Linked DNA regions of Saccharomyces cerevisiae S288C. Changing the gene in region 2 together with the main gene of any one other region gives a genetic interaction. Each region holds a gene or a part of one and is shown on either strand. Other genes may lie near its edges.

Evidence for each region.
Region 1: mutations in ARA1 (region 2) and ECM22 together harm fitness more than expected from each alone (negative genetic interaction), as found in Saccharomyces cerevisiae (one large-scale study listed by BioGRID).
Region 3: mutations in ARA1 (region 2) and BIO4 together harm fitness more than expected from each alone (negative genetic interaction), as found in Saccharomyces cerevisiae (one large-scale study listed by BioGRID).

The regions. Positions count from the first base shown.
Region 1 is NC_001144.5:597,987-605,146, reverse strand, and holds ECM22 (Ecm22p), read left to right. Parts: upstream 1-2,683; coding exon 2,684-5,128; downstream 5,129-7,160. Other genes in the region: Rho family GTPase CDC42, read left to right, coding at 360-935.
Region 2 is NC_001134.8:536,594-542,445, forward strand, and holds ARA1 (D-arabinose 1-dehydrogenase (NAD(P)(+)) ARA1), read left to right. Parts: upstream 1-3,393; coding exon 3,394-4,428; downstream 4,429-5,852. Other genes in the region: RTC2 (cationic amino acid transporter), read left to right, coding at 1-872; YSW1 (Ysw1p), read left to right, coding at 1,283-3,112; TBS1 (Tbs1p), read right to left, coding at 4,616-5,852. UniProt on the Saccharomyces cerevisiae protein: Catalyzes the oxidation of D-arabinose, L-xylose, L-fucose and L-galactose in the presence of NADP(+).
Region 3 is NC_001146.8:731,227-736,643, reverse strand, and holds BIO4 (dethiobiotin synthase), read left to right. Parts: upstream 1-2,574; coding exon 2,575-3,288; downstream 3,289-5,417. Other genes in the region: BIO3 (adenosylmethionine-8-amino-7-oxononanoate transaminase), read right to left, coding at 911-2,353; BIO5 (Bio5p), read left to right, coding at 3,341-5,026.

The DNA.
Region 1 (7,160 bases), on a different chromosome or scaffold from region 2:
ACCGTCGATTCAAGGGTCATTCAATACGGGTAATACTGCTTCCATTGGGCCCTTCCAAATGAAACAAGATACGGGAAAAAGTGATAAAAAAAAGCAAACAAGGTTGATTGATCGATGATAGACGCGATTCTTGGAAAAGGCAAGAGCAGCGTTTTGATAAATAGGTTCCAGGTGTACCGAGATATACTGATTATCCTTCTCTGTCATTCTTCACTTTTTGCAATAGGTTTCCTTTGTCGCAAAAAATTATATTCGTTATTTATTATACTATTCTATTTTCCTGAGGAGATAGGTTAACAAACGAATTAGAGAAGCAAAACTTATAAAACAAGAAATAAACGTATTAGCTCTTCCACAAAATGCAAACGCTAAAGTGTGTTGTTGTCGGTGATGGTGCTGTTGGGAAAACGTGCCTTCTAATCTCCTATACAACGAATCAATTTCCAGCCGACTATGTTCCAACAGTGTTCGATAACTATGCGGTGACTGTGATGATTGGTGATGAACCATATACGTTAGGTTTGTTTGATACGGCCGGTCAAGAAGATTACGATCGATTGAGACCCTTGTCATATCCTTCTACTGATGTATTTTTGGTTTGTTTCAGTGTTATTTCCCCACCCTCTTTTGAAAACGTTAAAGAAAAATGGTTCCCTGAAGTACATCACCATTGTCCAGGTGTACCATGCCTGGTCGTCGGTACGCAGATTGATCTAAGGGATGACAAGGTAATCATCGAGAAGTTGCAAAGACAAAGATTACGTCCGATTACATCAGAACAAGGTTCCAGGTTAGCAAGAGAACTGAAAGCAGTAAAATATGTCGAGTGTTCGGCACTAACACAACGCGGTTTGAAGAATGTATTCGATGAAGCTATCGTGGCCGCCTTGGAGCCTCCTGTTATCAAGAAAAGTAAAAAATGTGCAATTTTGTAGTCATATTAGTATATGCCCATCTTTTCTTAATCTATATCTAAAATTAACTTATATATACACCTTCCTATCCTTTTATTATCGTTGTATTTCATTTTTTCGCTTTGCTCAGAGTTGATTCTCTTTGTTTCTTGCGCCAGGATCATCCGTCTGTTCAAGGCGGAGTAGTGCAAAAAAGTCGAGCCGTCAAGCCCCAAACGTTCAATACTTCCATGTTCTTCAACGCTAAACGCGACATTTGCGAGTCCTACCACGTCTTCTCCGTTTACGGGCAAAAACACCTCTTAACATCAAAAATTTGGCTTTCGTGCTTTTTTCTGAAATATATTCGTTGCATAGACACGGTATGCATATGAAACATTCAGGCTAGCAATCAATACTTAAACCCTTTACGGGCGTGCATGATGTATCAGGAAACCAGTTTGAGAATGTCGCCCACCAAGCTCCATGGAAAGGCGCAAACCAATTACGCGGAACACAAAAATGGGCCTTTTTTTGATCGCCTCAAAGGCCGGACCAGGTTCGTTAAACGTCTGTAGAGGTGCCGAACAATTTTTGTCTAGAATAAATTTCCATTTTTCTGGCATTTAATTCTAGGCTTTCTGGTCTCTTTGTTCTTGCAGCTAGCCCATTGGGTGCTCTTCAAAATATGTCAATATCACCTTGATTTTGAAAATGCGCCCGTAAAATTGGACTTATGCTACAAATATATTCTACAGGAAAAGATCCGCAAGGTCTGCTTTAGCGTAAAAACGACCTCCCAGTATTTTATATAACCTCAGCCATTTCACTGAATGATACATAGTAGCATATATAGCTAGGCCTAAATGTATTTTTTTTTACAACTTTTTAGATCGCTGCGTGAAGGATGAAACTTCATATGAGTACGGACGTTTGAAAGGGTAGAGTGGCGCTAGCATAGAAATGCCATTTCTCGGAGGTGTCATCATTCGAAAAGAACTCAATTTTCAAGCGATTGAGATTCAAAGGCAAACCGATGCCTCCTCATTGGTCACATCTTCATGTAAACTGTGGCTGCTTTTTTTTCTAAATACTCTATGACTACAGCTTTCCTTTGTACAAACTCAAGTTTATTTAATCGTCTTTTTTAATGTTTATGTTCAACATACCCGAAACCACTACAAGACGGAAAATACTAGAGAAACATCAACAAATGAAAAAAAAAGGCTACAATCCTCGGATGAAACTGATAAAAACGAGCACAGTATATGCCGAGTCGTAGCATTTAACGTACTAACACTACTCGCCAAATCATAAGAGCTTCATGCTGACGTGTGTATCTATATCGCTTTTACAGATCCTGCAACCGACAGAGCCGAAAACGTAATTGGTGACTCGTTCCTCGTTCTTGTCGGAAAAATTTAAACGAGCGCGTTCGATAAACTCAACGAAGGCAAGTTTGAACAATAGATGTTGGTCGTAATCATTCGTTCTTCGACTTTTATAGCCTTTTTTTTAACTTAACGAACTCGTACTATCTAATAGTTTATTTCCCCTTGTTTTTTTTTGTTACGATTGGGGAAAAGCAAGGGTTCCCTGCGTCTACGATTACATCATCTACTAACTAGTCACCGAAATCGATTATCGTCGAAGGAGAAGCAACCAAGACCTCCACTTTTCAAAGGCACAAATAACATTTCGCCTTTACATAATATAGAGGAGTTAAGTCGACGGTTTTTTTCATTTAAGGTTTATATTTCGTTTATCCATAGATCTCCATCTAACATAACATGACATCCGATGATGGGAATGCTGGACAAGAAAGAGAGAAGGATGCTGAACTGATTGAGGTTGGGGGCAAGAAAGTGAGCAAGACTTCGACAGGGAAACGGAAGTTTCATAACAAGTCCAAGACCGGTTGCGACAATTGTAAAAGAAGAAGAGTAAAATGTGATGAAGGCAAACCATTTTGCAAGAAATGTACAAACATGAAATTGGACTGTGTTTACAGCCCTATTCAGCCAAGAAGAAGAAAAGATTCTTCGTCGTCAAAATTTGCATCAGCGGTCCACGATAGGGTAGGCAAGAAAAATCTGAGTGACAATGCCATCATGTTACAACAACAACAACAGCAACTTCATCATCAACAAGAACAGCAATTTCGTCAACAACAGCAAGTTCAGTTACAGCAGCAACTGTTGCCACATGTTGGTACTGATGAACAAAGCAATTCCCCTAATAGCGTTCCTCCATCCGTATCCAATAATATGGAGAATCTTTTGTTACCGCACCTATTAGCGAGTTTAGTGAATAACACCAGTAACAGTACCAACAGCAGTGCAAATGGAGCTGAAGCGCATAATAATATAACACAAACAGCTCCCAGTTCAATGATAAACAACAACCACCCAAACATGGCCCTACCAGGGAATTCGCCATTGAGTATACCGATAACACCTAGTTTTCAATCAACGGCCATGAATTTATCAAGTAGCCTTAACGGCTTACTCTCGCCTGGTAGGCTAAATTCGGTGACGAATGGATTGCAGCAGCCACAACTTCAACAACAAAATCAGCAAATTCCACAACAACAAGGAACACAGTCCCCCTTCAGCAATATTCCCTTCGACCAGCTAGCGCAATTGAACAAGATGGGCTTGAACTTCAATATGAAGAGCTTCAATACATTATTTCCATACGGTGCTGCAAATGGAATGGCCTCTGAGTTTCAAGAGTTATTTGGCCTCGGAAAGTTTGCTACATCTAATAACAGAGCAATCAAAGTTAGCACAGCAGAGGAGGCACTCGCAAATATGCAACAGGAACAGGAGGACAAAAACAAGCAATTTACGAAGAACCCATTGGATAATACTAAGACGGATGCTGTTAATTCGGGCAATAACCCCCTTAACGGAAACGAAAATAAAGTTACTGCTTCTGATATACTATCTCATAACAAAAACTTGATAATCGACAATACCGGTCTCACAATCAGTCCCCCACACACGTTGTCCAAACCTTCCATAGATCAAAACATTGCGTCCCCTTCAACGGGAGTATCCAATGTAACCTCTACAAAGTCATTGTTATCTATACCGGACAACAGGACCGCTTTGGGAAATTCTCCTACTTTGAAGACGTCCCCAATGGGTGACCTGTTATCCAACTCGGAGGCATTGTCTCCACGTTCATCAAATTCTCACACTCAACAACAATCTTCTCCCCATTCAAACGCTTCATCAGCCTCACGACTAGTCCCTGAATTAGTCGGGCTGTCTAGAAAATCAAATTTGAATTTGATAGATCTAAAACTTTTTCATCACTATTGTACTGACGTATGGCATACCATAACCGAAGCAGGCATTTCTGGTCCTGAAGTATGGAGCACTTATATTCCGGATTTGGCTTTTCATTTTCCCTTCTTGATGCATACAATTTTGGCTTTTAGCGCCACTCATTTGTCCAGAACTGAAGCCGGCTTGGATAACTACGTGTCTAGTCATCGTTTAGAAGCGTTGAGACTGTTAAGAGAGGCTGTGCTCGAAATTTCAGATGATAACACAGATGCTTTGGTGGCTAGTGCTCTAATATTAATCCTAGATTCATTGGCAAATGCTTCAAGCAGCTCACCAACGGCATGGATTTTCCATGTTAAAGGCGCCGTAACTATACTAACTGCTGTATGGCCCCTGTCGGAGACATCCAAGTTTTATAACTTAATTTCTGTTGACTTGAGTGATTTGGGTGAAGCTGTAATCAACCAAAGTAATCATAATAATGATAATGACAATAGCAATAATGGTGATGGAAATAACAATAATACGATATCGGAACTCGTATGCTTTGACGAAAGTATAGCAGATTTATATCCCGTAGAAATTGATTCACCGTACTTGATAACTTTAGCATATTTGGACAAACTGCATCGCGAAAAAAATCAATTAGATTTTATGTTGAGAGTCTTCTCATTTCCTGCTCTTTTGGATAGGACTTTTTTAGCATTATTAATGACAGGCGACCTAGGGGCCATGAGAATAATGAGGTCTTACTATACATTATTGAGAGGTTATACCACAGAAATAAAGGACAAAGTGTGGTTCTTGGATAGCGTATCACAGGTTTTACCACAGGATGTTGATGAGTATAGTGGAGGTGGTGGTATGCATATGATGCTGGATTTCTTAGGAGGTGGGTTACCTTCTATGACCACTACAAACTTTTCAGCTTTTATGTAATTTATCAAAATATAAACTCTTTTCTTTCGATGGGTCAGTGCTACAGAATGTGAACCTCATCGATGAATAACTACATTATGTTACTTCCGAATATACTGGCCATTTTGAGGAATCCACAAAAGGAAATGGATACTTATACATAGTAGTATTATTATTTCTTCTTTCGTTTTTATATGTTGTCAAGTGATCATTAATAATAACATGAGTTGTTATGGTAACAATTTAAATGTTTACATAGTATATTGAGGTACACCCGGTATACGTTTATGTGTAAATGCACTAATCACAGGATAAAAACTTAAGCGAGCAATTCAGACAATGCTGAGCTGAGTTAAAGATATATTGATTGAACATAATGTGGTAGCTACTTATATATATGAGGAATACGGGTCACCACACTAAATACATAGTAACTACCAAAGGCACTTTTATGTTAATAATAAATAATAATGAGCAAATCTAATGCTTTCTTGAAAAATAGGTGGATTTTATGGGTGAATAATTGAATAATTGTTGGGATTCTATTGTTAAAGGCACTAATAGTGGGCATACGTTAATGTGCCAGGAGAATATAGCAACATTGAAGGGAAATGACATCTCTACAGAGCATCACTATTTTTTCTTCTTCAATTTAATTGTTGTTACTCATTATCCTATTACATTATCGATCATTGCATTTCAGCTTCCATTAAATTCGATGACTGTTCCTCAATTTTTGACGTCATCTTCTTACGCCGTATATGATAAAATAAATACTTGTACATAGGTGATTTTTGTCCGTATCTCAGCAGTTTTATATTTTTCTCTTATATTGCATGAAAAGATGGATATTCATTCTTCATTAATACTACCAATTAACGGCATTTCATTATCCATTACAATTATTTTTTATTCTCGCTTTCAAACTATTTACTGACGTCTAGTCTGACCGAAAACCAAAGAGTTCACATCTATTCTGAGAAATGGGTGAATGTTGAGATAATTGTTGGGATTCCATTGTTGATAAAGGCTATAATATTAGGTATACAGAATATACTAGAAGTTCTCCTCAAGGATTTAGGAATCCATAAAAGGGAATCTGCAATTCTACACAATTCTATAAATATTATTATCATCATTTTATATGTTTATATTCATTGATCCTATTACATTATCAATCCTTGCGTTTCAGCTTCCACTAATTTAGATGACTATTTCTCATCATTTGCGTCATCTTCTAACACCGTATATGATAATATACTAGTAATGTAAATACTAGTTAGTAGATGATAGTTGATTTCTATTCCAACATACCACCCATAATGTAATAGATCTAATGAATCCATTTGTTAGTTAATAGTTTAAATGTTTTTATCGGAAGAGGTTTTGTCATCACATCAGCAATGTTCTTCTTGGTCTCGATGTAGTATACGTATAGATTATTACCTGATACTTCATCTCTAAGTCTCATTGCCTTTGTGCCAAAAAATCTGTTTCTAAATTTCTCTTCATTTGTAGACTTAATTATACTGATCGTTGATCTACTATCAGTAAGTAAGCCTTTAATAATTGGTTTCTTGTTAAGTTCTTGCACAAGGTGACTGAGGTTATTCAATAGCGGAATAGCTTCACTGACTGCGTGTATTTCTGCTTCTGTAGTTGAAGTGCATGTTAACGAAGCCTTTGTCGACTTTCCTCCAATCACTTTTCCGTTGAGTAGGAAAATGTTACCAATTTGTGACTTGTAATATGGTTGGTTACCATATGAAGCATCGCTTATTGCGACTAGTTTATTATCTGGCTCGGTAGGTTTGTTTTTGTGCCATATCAGTTGTTTATCTCTAGTGTCCCACATGAATTGTATTAACTCATATGTCATGTCTAAAACTTGCCTAGAGGGGAATAGTATATGTTGAGCAAGTGTGTTGATGTAGTATAGTAAGTCAAATCTAAATTTATATCCAACATATGAAGCTAGACCAATCAACTTTTGCATTTCATGTACCTTCTCTTTGTATTCATCTTCATCTATTTCTAGTTCATCCTGGTCTAT
Region 2 (5,852 bases):
TTTTGAATGCTAAGAATCTCAGTGGGATGGCTGGATCCATATCAATATGCTGTTGGATTGTTGTGTTTGTACCACAGATTTATGAAAACTTCCGAAGACAGTCTGCGGAGGGATTATCACTGCTTTTCATTGTGTTGTGGCTATTAGGTGATATATTTAACGTCATGGGAGCTATGATGCAAAATTTACTCCCAACCATGATAATTTTAGCTGCTTACTATACATTGGCAGATTTAATTTTGTTAATACAGTGCATGTGGTATGACAAGGAGAAGAAGAGCATTTTACAAGAAGTCAAGAAAAATGTTGATCCTGTGCATTTGCCTCCAGCAAACCCCATAAATGAGACTGTCTTACAAGACGTTTTTAATGAATATGAGCCACTTTTGCCAAGGATAGAAGAAGAAGATAGCCAATCGTATAGCTCGCTTGAGCTTGGCAGAACAATAGTCGTAAAGGAAAGAGAGAATTTTTTCAATGACTTCTTAATTGTTTCAGGTGTACTTATTGCCGGAATTTTGTCATGGTATATATCTTACTGTTCCGGCCTAGATAACGGTATTCCTAAAAAAAAACCTGCGTTCGAACAGATTAATTTACCTGCACAAATTTTAGGGTATTTAAGTGCGATACTGTACTTGGGCTCTAGGATCCCTCAGATTGTTCTTAACTTCAAAAGAAAATCATGCGAAGGAGTCTCATTCCTATTCTTTTTATTTGCATGCTTAGGGAACACTTCTTTCATAATCTCAGTGCTCTCAGCATCTTGGCTTATCGGTAGCGCTGGTACGCTGTTGATGGACTTCACAGTTTTTATTCAATTTTTCCTTTACGCCAAACCTAAATACGAGAAAATACTAATAGATAATTAACTAGTTGGCTTCTATTAATCTTTCCACTTAAAACTCAAACTTACTCATATGCGCATCGGCTATAGCCCAGAACTAGTATTTTCATTTTATGGAGGAAACAAAATTACTAGCGCCATCACGGCTCAGTCGTTATTTTGGCGATGCCCTTTGCTGACACGCGTCTGAAAAAATACACAAAAAATAACACAAAAACGAGTAATGCCATTTCCTGGGTGGGGTCTCTATCCATAGAGGAAAAAAAGTGACAGGAAGGGGACAAATTCAACTATTCACTGTAGTCATCTAATAATTTTTTTAACTTAATCACACCAACAAAAACAAAAAAAAGCTAAAACTAGGTTGAAGGATTTTAAGAGAAGTTATTGCACCGGTGTATTAACATATATAAGGATACGTACGAACATAACATCATGTCCAGCTTAGCCGATACAGTAGAGGGTAGCGAGGCCAAACGCGGCAGATTTTCCAACAATGCATTAACCTCCGATACTGGTATTTTACAGAAAAATAGTACATTAAGAAACTGGTTTTTAAAACCGACAGCAGACCTAAAAAATAGTTGCGAAGATAGAGTTGAAGATGACGTCAATGATGTCTACTTAAATGACAAAAACTCACAAAAATCTGTTGAAGAAAGAAAACTAGGAAGAAAAGTTAGATCTTTTTTCAAACAAACAAACTCAAATAAGGACGAGTCTGTGTTGGAAGATGAAGATGATGCGTTAGTTTGGAAGAAAACTAGCAATAAGTGTGCAAAAAAGGAAAATTCCCATGACATCCAAAAAGGAAGTTTCACAAAAAAAATCAGAAACAGTATTTTCAAGAGTGCAAATGACGTGAAAGAATTCAGGAATGAAAATAACTTACTATTGCCCGTTGAACTTTCTTCTGATGATGAGAATGAGTCTCATTTCACTGATGCTAACTCACATGTTATGCAATCAAAAAGTCCCGAGAAAATACCTTCCAAGGATCAATGCTTGACTAAAGGCGCTAAGAATAAAGGTCTGAAAAAGGAATATGAAAAAAGTTTTGAAGAGTATAGCGACGACAGTGACGATGAATTTTCTCCTGCTACTCCACCGGAGAATGTTCTTGAAGGTCCTTACAAATTTGTGTTTCAGACACCAAACACATTTACATCTCAGCCTAATATAACAGTAGAAAATGATTTTCACAAAGGTGGGAGACATGTGATTGACTATCTGAACAAAAAATTGGCTACTATGAACATTGATATTGATTTGACTTCAGGGGGGAAACAAAACGTATCTTGGGAGGAAGAGCTCGACCAATTGAGCGACCACGTTATAGAAAGTATTACTAACCACATTTCAAAGGGTAGAATGCACGCACAAGAGAAGCAAGATGAGTTGGAAAAGTTAAAATTGGAGAATTTGAACTTGTCAACATTAAAGCAAGAAAATCTCCAACATAAGCAGGAAATTAACTCATTGAAAGACAACCTTGAATCCATTAGTAAAAAAAACAATGATCTTATATTGGAAATGAACAAATTGAAAAAAAAAAGTACGAATAATAAAACAAATGAGTACATATCTACGGATGAAAACGAAAATGAGGAGATTACCAAATCCAATATGGGTCCTGGCATTTTAGAACTGAACGTCAACGAAACTTCAAAAAAATTACAGCAATCCACATTCAAACCCTCGAAATATCTTCCAAGAGAAACGAGAAACAATGAAAATAGATTAAAACACTTGGAAAAGAGAATATTTGGCTTAGAAAAATCTCTTGAAAAAAAAAAAAAACAGGTAAGGGCTGACAGCGTTAGATTAGACTTGAATAGATATACTATCGACCAGTTTTTGACATTACTGAAAAGCCTCAGCGAGGTTTTGCAATTCCACAATGTTTATGGCAATGATTTGAAGGAAAACGACGATAATATTATAAAGATTGAAACCTGCTGTAGTGCGCTAAACATGAAAAATTGTTTCGAAGACTCCTCATTTCGTTTACAAGAAAACAGCTTCAAGAGGCAATTGGGCCCTCTGTTCGCAAACATCAACTTCTCCTTAATCGACCAACTGACAATGAACTTCAGGTTCTACGAGAGATCTGCCAATTTCCAGAAGGAAACAATAGGTGGGTTAAGAATGATGCTACAAGATAAGGATAACTATATCAAAACACTGATGCAACATTTGAAGAAAAAAGAGAGTACAAAGTTGATAAAAGACAGCAAGAATGGCGCCTCCACCTTAACATCTTAACAATTTCGTTTACTGAAAATGCTACTAGTATATAATCATTAAGTATCTAACTATCACTCAATAAAAATATTATAGATCGCTTAAAAACTCGTTTATTGCCGATTATAAATCCACCAAAAGCCGCTCTACCCTTACCTCCGCCTGGAAAAATTATAATATATAAAGTGAGCCTCGTAATACAGGGGTAAAAAGGAAAGAGGGGGATATCAAGCATCTGGACTTATTTGCACTATCTCCGCCTTCAATTGATAAAAGCGTCTTGATTTTAATCAACTGCTATCATGTCTTCTTCAGTAGCCTCAACCGAAAACATAGTCGAAAATATGTTGCATCCAAAGACTACAGAAATATACTTTTCACTCAACAATGGTGTTCGTATCCCAGCACTGGGTTTGGGGACAGCAAATCCTCACGAAAAGTTAGCTGAAACAAAACAAGCCGTAAAAGCTGCAATCAAAGCTGGATACAGGCACATTGATACTGCTTGGGCCTACGAGACAGAGCCATTCGTAGGTGAAGCCATCAAGGAGTTATTAGAAGATGGATCTATCAAAAGGGAGGATCTTTTCATAACCACAAAAGTGTGGCCGGTTCTATGGGACGAAGTGGACAGATCATTGAATGAATCTTTGAAAGCTTTAGGCTTGGAATACGTCGACTTGCTCTTGCAACATTGGCCGCTATGTTTTGAAAAGATTAAGGACCCTAAGGGGATCAGCGGACTGGTGAAGACTCCGGTTGATGATTCTGGAAAAACAATGTATGCTGCCGACGGTGACTATTTAGAAACTTACAAGCAATTGGAAAAAATTTACCTTGATCCTAACGATCATCGTGTGAGAGCCATTGGTGTCTCAAATTTTTCCATTGAGTATTTGGAACGTCTCATTAAGGAATGCAGAGTTAAGCCAACGGTGAACCAAGTGGAAACTCACCCTCACTTACCACAAATGGAACTAAGAAAGTTCTGCTTTATGCACGACATTCTGTTAACAGCATACTCACCATTAGGTTCCCATGGCGCACCAAACTTGAAAATCCCACTAGTGAAAAAGCTTGCCGAAAAGTACAATGTCACAGGAAATGACTTGCTAATTTCTTACCATATTAGACAAGGCACTATCGTAATTCCGAGATCCTTGAATCCAGTTAGGATTTCCTCGAGTATTGAATTCGCATCTTTGACAAAGGATGAATTACAAGAGTTGAACGACTTCGGTGAAAAATACCCAGTGAGATTCATCGATGAGCCATTTGCAGCCATCCTTCCAGAGTTTACTGGTAACGGACCAAACTTGGACAATTTAAAGTATTAAGACAACGACTTTATTTTCACTTTATTTAGTTCGCTTCTTAATCTTGTCAAAAACAAGATATTGTGTAATCGCCTCAAGTAAACAATATGTTTTTCATACGTGATTTGAAGTTTTTAAGTATCTGAAATACATACGCGCGCGTATGCATATGTATTAGTTAAATTACTCGAATGTCCTTTATATAATATTACATTTTTACACACACATTCTTGAAGAAGAAATCCCGATCGTAAAAAAAAACACCGTGCTCCAAATGGCCTTCAATCTTTTCGAATAATTTATTCGATTGTTCATTCTCATCTCTATAATCATTCGCCGTACGTTCAGGATATGACGCATCAAGCAGCGAAGCTAAACCTGTTGGAAATAAAGATCTGTCATAGTCATCGTCTTCTTCATCATCATCAGCACCATTATTACTATAATCATCATCATTGTCATCATCATCATCATCATCATCATCATCATCATCATCATCATCATCATCATCATCATCATCATTAATATTGTTGTCATTGTCATTATTGTTACTGTTACTGTAGTTATTGTTATTATTATTAATAGTACTACTACTATTATTGCCATTTTTATTATTATTATTATTATTATTATTATTATCGTCAGTATCATCAGCGCCAGTAGTCTCGTTATTATCAGTATTGGTACCATTACTATGATGATATTCCTCGCCTGGCTCAAGAGTTTTATTTTCCCACAATTTCGGAATGCTTGAAAATTGCAAGAAGTTCAAATCCTGGATTGTTATTTCATTGAAAATATTGAAGGACACTTCCATTTTTTCTTGGTCCTCTGTAACGAAACTACCAAATGCAGCCATCTTCTCTTTATTTATGAACGAAGTTTTCAAGAGCTCGACCATATCATCTTTTGATTCTCTCGTATGCTTAACTAACCTATTGAGAACACCCTCATAATAATTTGAATCAAAGGCATAGAATTTTGCGTATTTACTTGTCAGATTGAACTTTTCCATCGTACTCCGTAGAAAAAAAGTGTAAAAAAAAAGAGATGTTTGCCACTTCAGATTGTGTACTGAAAGACAGCGTTCTTCAGATCCAAGCATACGGGTATGTGTATCCCTCAATAATCCAATTATATAACCAGTCTCCATGGCATGTTCGTCATTAACCATAATCTCTGACAAATACAGAAACATGGAAAAAACCGTTGTGAGAGAAAAATACAGAAACTCATTCTGAACAGTAGGGTAGTATTCAAAATCTTTCAAAATATTAAGTACTTCGATGCAATTTCGCTTGAAATCCAATCTTGACCTTCTAATAATTTCAGCTATATCATGCCGGGAACTTTCCCGTTGATCTAAGTTATCTCCAATGATGGATATGACAAATAAACTCAGGGTTATCTTTTGATGGTACCATCTGAGGTGTAATAGAATAGTA
Region 3 (5,417 bases), on a different chromosome or scaffold from region 2:
GAGGCGCAATGTTTACCTTCAGAAGAGAGGTCATACAATTACTTGGAGGGTAACATTACTAATTTTGCAGAGATTGCAACATAGGTGATCTTATATGTTGAAATAAAAACTACTGCTGATATTGCTTGCTTTGATAATAACAATATTCGAGGGAAAATACTGCCCATGCTACTTCAGTGTGATGGCAAAGCGTTTTCTCATCTAGGAGAGCAACGGTTTGATCCCCGTGAAAAGCCTGGGCCCAGTACATCTTGTAAGATCTTACACAATATTAAGTTATATAGACATCGTTTACTACATTCAAGGTCTTGTGAATAGTTACTGCGGATAGGTTAATAGAGGAAGATATAGTGCAAAATTTCAAGTAGCGGAAGATAATCAAATGCTGAAGGAAATTTACAGGTTTGCCTCAATAATAATCTTGACTCTGCCGGAAAAATTTACCAGAGGGTTCAAAGGTATGAGTTGTACGACCCGGTTCAACAGTAGTTGCTTGAAGAGTAAGCTGAGCCTATAATATCCCATCTTTTCCGTTCTTCTCATAATAAATAAAAGATAGGATCGTGAGATGTGTCAGCTGCTGAGGAGTGTAACTAGCGCTAATGGGAGAACATAGAAGAGAGTACCGTGATGGCACAGAAGGCGGGTAGGCGACCACGGACCATTTCGGTCCAGATTTCTCAACTCGTACTTCCTGTGATACGTTCTTGCCCTGAACTAGTCAATTTTCTCTTGTGCAGCAGGCTTCGACATAGTTTTATGATAAGAAAAGTAAGATATAAAGGTCCGCTAGAATAAATAACCATAAATTTTTTATTTTGAGTTATATCAATATAAATAATAGCGTAAAAGAATGCATTTTACGCAAGAAATAAGAATTCCTTGGCAAATGACTTGATGAGATCGTATATCATTGGTTTATGTGGGATTTCCACTCATGTAATACTTCAATCAAGACTTGATTAACCTTCGTCAATTCCTCTGTCGTGATCACATATGGTGGCATAATGTAACACAGGCAGTTGAAAGGTCGGATATGTACTCCCTTGGATATAAACTTTTTCTGGAACCACTCGGGATCTGTCTTCTTGTATAGCTCTACGATACCTACAGCTCCAATAACTGACACACGCTTAACAACAGTTCCAATGAGCCCATTATCTGGGTTCTTGATGTACTGGTATAGTTCTCTATAAATTTGGTTTTCAATTGCAGACACTTGTTTTCTCCACTCGCCACGCAGTAGTATATCCATAGACTTTTCTGCCACACTGCATGCCAGGGCATTGCCCATGAAGGTGGGGCCATGCATGAAGCAGCCACCAGTAGGGCTATTTGGAGAAGAGATTCTGGAAGCAACTTTGTCGTTGACTACCACTGCACTCATAGTCATATATCCACTGGTTAAGCCCTTCCCAACGCACAATATGTCAGGAACAACTTTGATCTGATCGGAAGGACTGATGCCATGTTGGTCCTGGTATTTTTGACAGTGCTTGAATGCGAAAATCTCACCTGTTCTACCAAATCCTGTAGCAATCTCGTCCATGATGAATAAAACGTCGTATTGGTTACATAGTTTCTGAACTTCGATTAAGAACTGTGGATGGTATGGTCGCAAACCTCCTGCACCCTGTAAGATAGGCTCCAAAATCACAGCACAGATCTTATCACTATGCAATTCAAATTGCTTCTTGAGATCGGTAACTTCTTCTGCATTCCAATGGTCCTCGAAACCGTTCTGGCTGGTTGGAAGGCCATCGACAATAGAGGGAGCTTGGGCGAAGATGTTCTCACTGAGTCGATCGTTGTAGATATGATGCATAGAATTCTCAGGATCACAAACACTCATAGCGCCAAATGTATCACCATGATACCCGTTCTTGATTGTCAAAAACTTTGTTCTATTTTTAGTAGCTTCCCCTGACATGTTTGATTGTAAAGCCATCTTCAAAGCTACTTCCACTGCTACTGAGCCAGAATCTGCGAGGAAACAGTACTGCAAAGAGGGTTCATCAATCACTTTTAAAAGTTTTTGGACTAGATTCACAGCTCCTTTATGGGTGAATCCACCAAGAAGGACGTGAGAAAACTTTAACATCTGCTTGGTAAGGGCCTCATTTAGTTCTGGATTATTGTACCCGTGAATAACACACCACCACGACGACATGGCGTCGATCACCTCGACGTCCACTGGTGAGTCGGTATCCAACACCAGCTTGCATCCGTGAGCACTCTTTACCGGATAAACGTTCAATGGTGAACTCAATGACGTATAAGGATGCCAAATATGTTTTTTATCAAAGTCTAGCAGTTCCGCGACATCTGGTGTATATGAAATTTCTTGGGACATTAGTTGTTATCCTAGCAATAGAAAACGAATTGCGCTGTTGACATCCTCCCGACCAAAAGAAAATGAAATATACAAACAATGGCTATTTATAATTCAAAATTATTGGGCAAAACAAAATAAAATCCCGCTGGTAGTTCGTTTACTGAAGTATATAAAGAGATATACTTTTTTCCACAAGTAGGCCAGTGAAAAGAACTCAAAAAATCACTAGCGCACAGGTCATGAACAGCAAATCTCAACAACAAGAACAACAACCAATTGTATTCGTCACCGGTACAGACACTGATGTTGGTAAAACCTTTGTATCAACATTATTGGTACACAAATGGAAAGCTGCATACTGGAAACCCGTACAAACTGGAATTGAGTCAGATCAAGGTGACTCCGAGACATTGAAAAATTTCAAAATAGCCGCATCAACTTGGCAACCACCTATATTCACGCCCACTTATGCGCTGCAGAAGCCTCTATCTCCGCTCCAGGCCATGGAGTACGAACCTAATGTCGACATCAGGTTGTTGGATTTCGTAGTTCCTGAAGAGTGGAGCGCAGAGAATCCATTGGTCGTAGAAGGAGCCGGCGGGGTTTGCGTTCCTATCACTCGTAAATTGGAAATTACGACGGATCTAATTAAACATCTGATTGAGACTAGCGGCCATCCAGTGTACGTAGTTGTCGTGGCACGCAGCGGGCTAGGGACTCTGAATCATACATTGCTGACTTGGAATCATCTTTGCGATAATGGCTTGAGAAGCCACCTTTTTGGGGTCATTCTCAATGGGGAACCGAATGAAGGCAACGTGCAGGCCCTGAAGAAGTTCGGTGTCAATATTATGGCACAGGTTGCACAATGTACTACGGCACATGATCAGGATATGGAGTTGCATGAACTGCCATCGGTGGAGTCATTAATGACCCAACAAGACGTAGAATAGTTTAAATAAAAAAGTTGCAAGGCTTTCATCAGCTATATATAAGTAGCATGGTATGAACAGAGTAGGGGCAGTGTTCCTATTTGTATATGAAAGAAATTTTTTTTTGTCTATTGTTCCAGATCGTCACAGGACGGAAATAAGAATGTCTAGTTCAGAAAGGTCAGAAGTCAAGTTTGACAAGCACTTTAATTGGTGGTCCCTATTAGGTATCGCGTTCTCATTAAGTTGCTCATGGGTCGGTATCTCAGCGTCGATGGCCGTTGGTATTGCCAGTGGAGGGCCACTGCTTATCATCTATGGGTTGATAATTGCTGCTTTTTTCAGTCTCATGTGTGGTATATCTCTGGGAGATTTTGCTGCTATCCTGCCAAACAGCAGCGGTGGTTCATTTTGGGTTCTTAAAATGTTGGAACAAGAATCAGTCACTTTGAAAACCCCTGAGTACGAGGACCCTTCTGACGATGATGAAGAAGTGTTCCTCGAGAATTATTGTCAAACTTTCAACGTGGAAGTTTCTTCTAAATTTCAAAAGGTTTCTTCCATGGTTGTAGGGTTGCTGAACTATTTCGGTGCCATTTTTACTACCGCAAGTATCTGCTCATCTTTGTCAATGAGCTGTATCGGTATTCATAAGTTGTTGCATCCGGACTACGAGTTAAAGCACTGGCATGTTTTTGTGGGTTACGAGTGTATCAATGCCGTTTTGACACTTTTCAACATTTATTCAACTCCGTTGCCCTATATCTCTCAGTTTGGGCTCTATACGTCTCTATTGTCTTTCGCCATGACTTTCATTATTTGTATTGTTTCAAGATCTGACAACACCGTAGACCCATGGCCCAAAGCTTCTAATATATTTGGGAGCTTTGATAATCAAACAGGCTGGAATTCGTCTGGAATGGCGTTTGTTGTCGGTTTGGTCAATCCGATCTGGGCATTTGTTGGCATTGACTCTGCTACGCACATGATTGATGAAGTGGGTTATAGTAAGTCACGTTTCTTAGTTCCCAAAGTTATTATCACTACCATCATTGTGGGCTTTGTAACTAGTTTTATTTATTGCGTTGGTTTGTTTTTCTGCATCACTGACCAAACGGCAGTCGTTGAGTCTATTTTACCTATCGTAGAAATATTTTACCAGGCCACTGGTAATAGGAATCTCAGTGTCTTCCTGCAATGTATGTGTATCACAACAGGTTTTGTTTCAGGCATTGCAAGTGGAACCTGGCAAAGTCGAATCCTCCAATCATTCGGGAAAAGTTACGCACCATTTTATAAAGAGGGTTCCTTGGGAAACAAATCCTTGAAGAAGCTAGCAGTGTTGACACCTGGGTTTAAGTCTCCATTATATGCCCATTTTTTGTCACAAATATGTGTAACGATAATTGGCTGTATATTTATGGGATCTAGTACCGCTTTCAACGCAATTATCACTGCATGCATCACCCTGTTACTAATGTCGTACGCAGTTCCTTCTTTTATATTCCTGTTCGTTATTAAAAAGGAAAAATTCATTCATAGAATCGAGAGTGACGTAAATTGTGTCAGCAGGCCTAACCGTCGTCGTATGTCTATGATTCCTCATATTATATGTATTCTATGGACCTTGTTCTGCCTGGTATTTTTATCTTTCCCATATACACTACCGGTTACTGCAGGAAACATGAATTACACCTCAGTAGTGTATGCAGTAGTTTTCTGCATTATCAGCATCGTTGTTTTCCCTACATGCATCTAAGATGCTGTTGAAAGAAAAACAGTCCTTATAAATTCCTAGGTCGATACTACCTTTTGTAGCTCTATCGTCAGAACTTCTGCCCTCCTGTATCATAGTTTCATAAAATAATTGTATATTTATTACCAGAAGTACCCTTGTATTACAAAACTAATCGCACACCACAAAGAGTAAAAGTAGGTACCATAGCAGCAGCGCTTAACCTATTCTCCGTCAGTATGAATGAAATATGTGGATTTCGATTACGATTCATTATAAGATCAGAACACATAAAGCCATTTTACTGAGCTATCTCAACTGCACAAACCATAACAAGTAAAAACTAGCTAGTGTAATTAGGAGATTATCGAAAGTCCTGGTCAAGCAGCAAGTTGGGCGAAAGTGTATTTTTGGT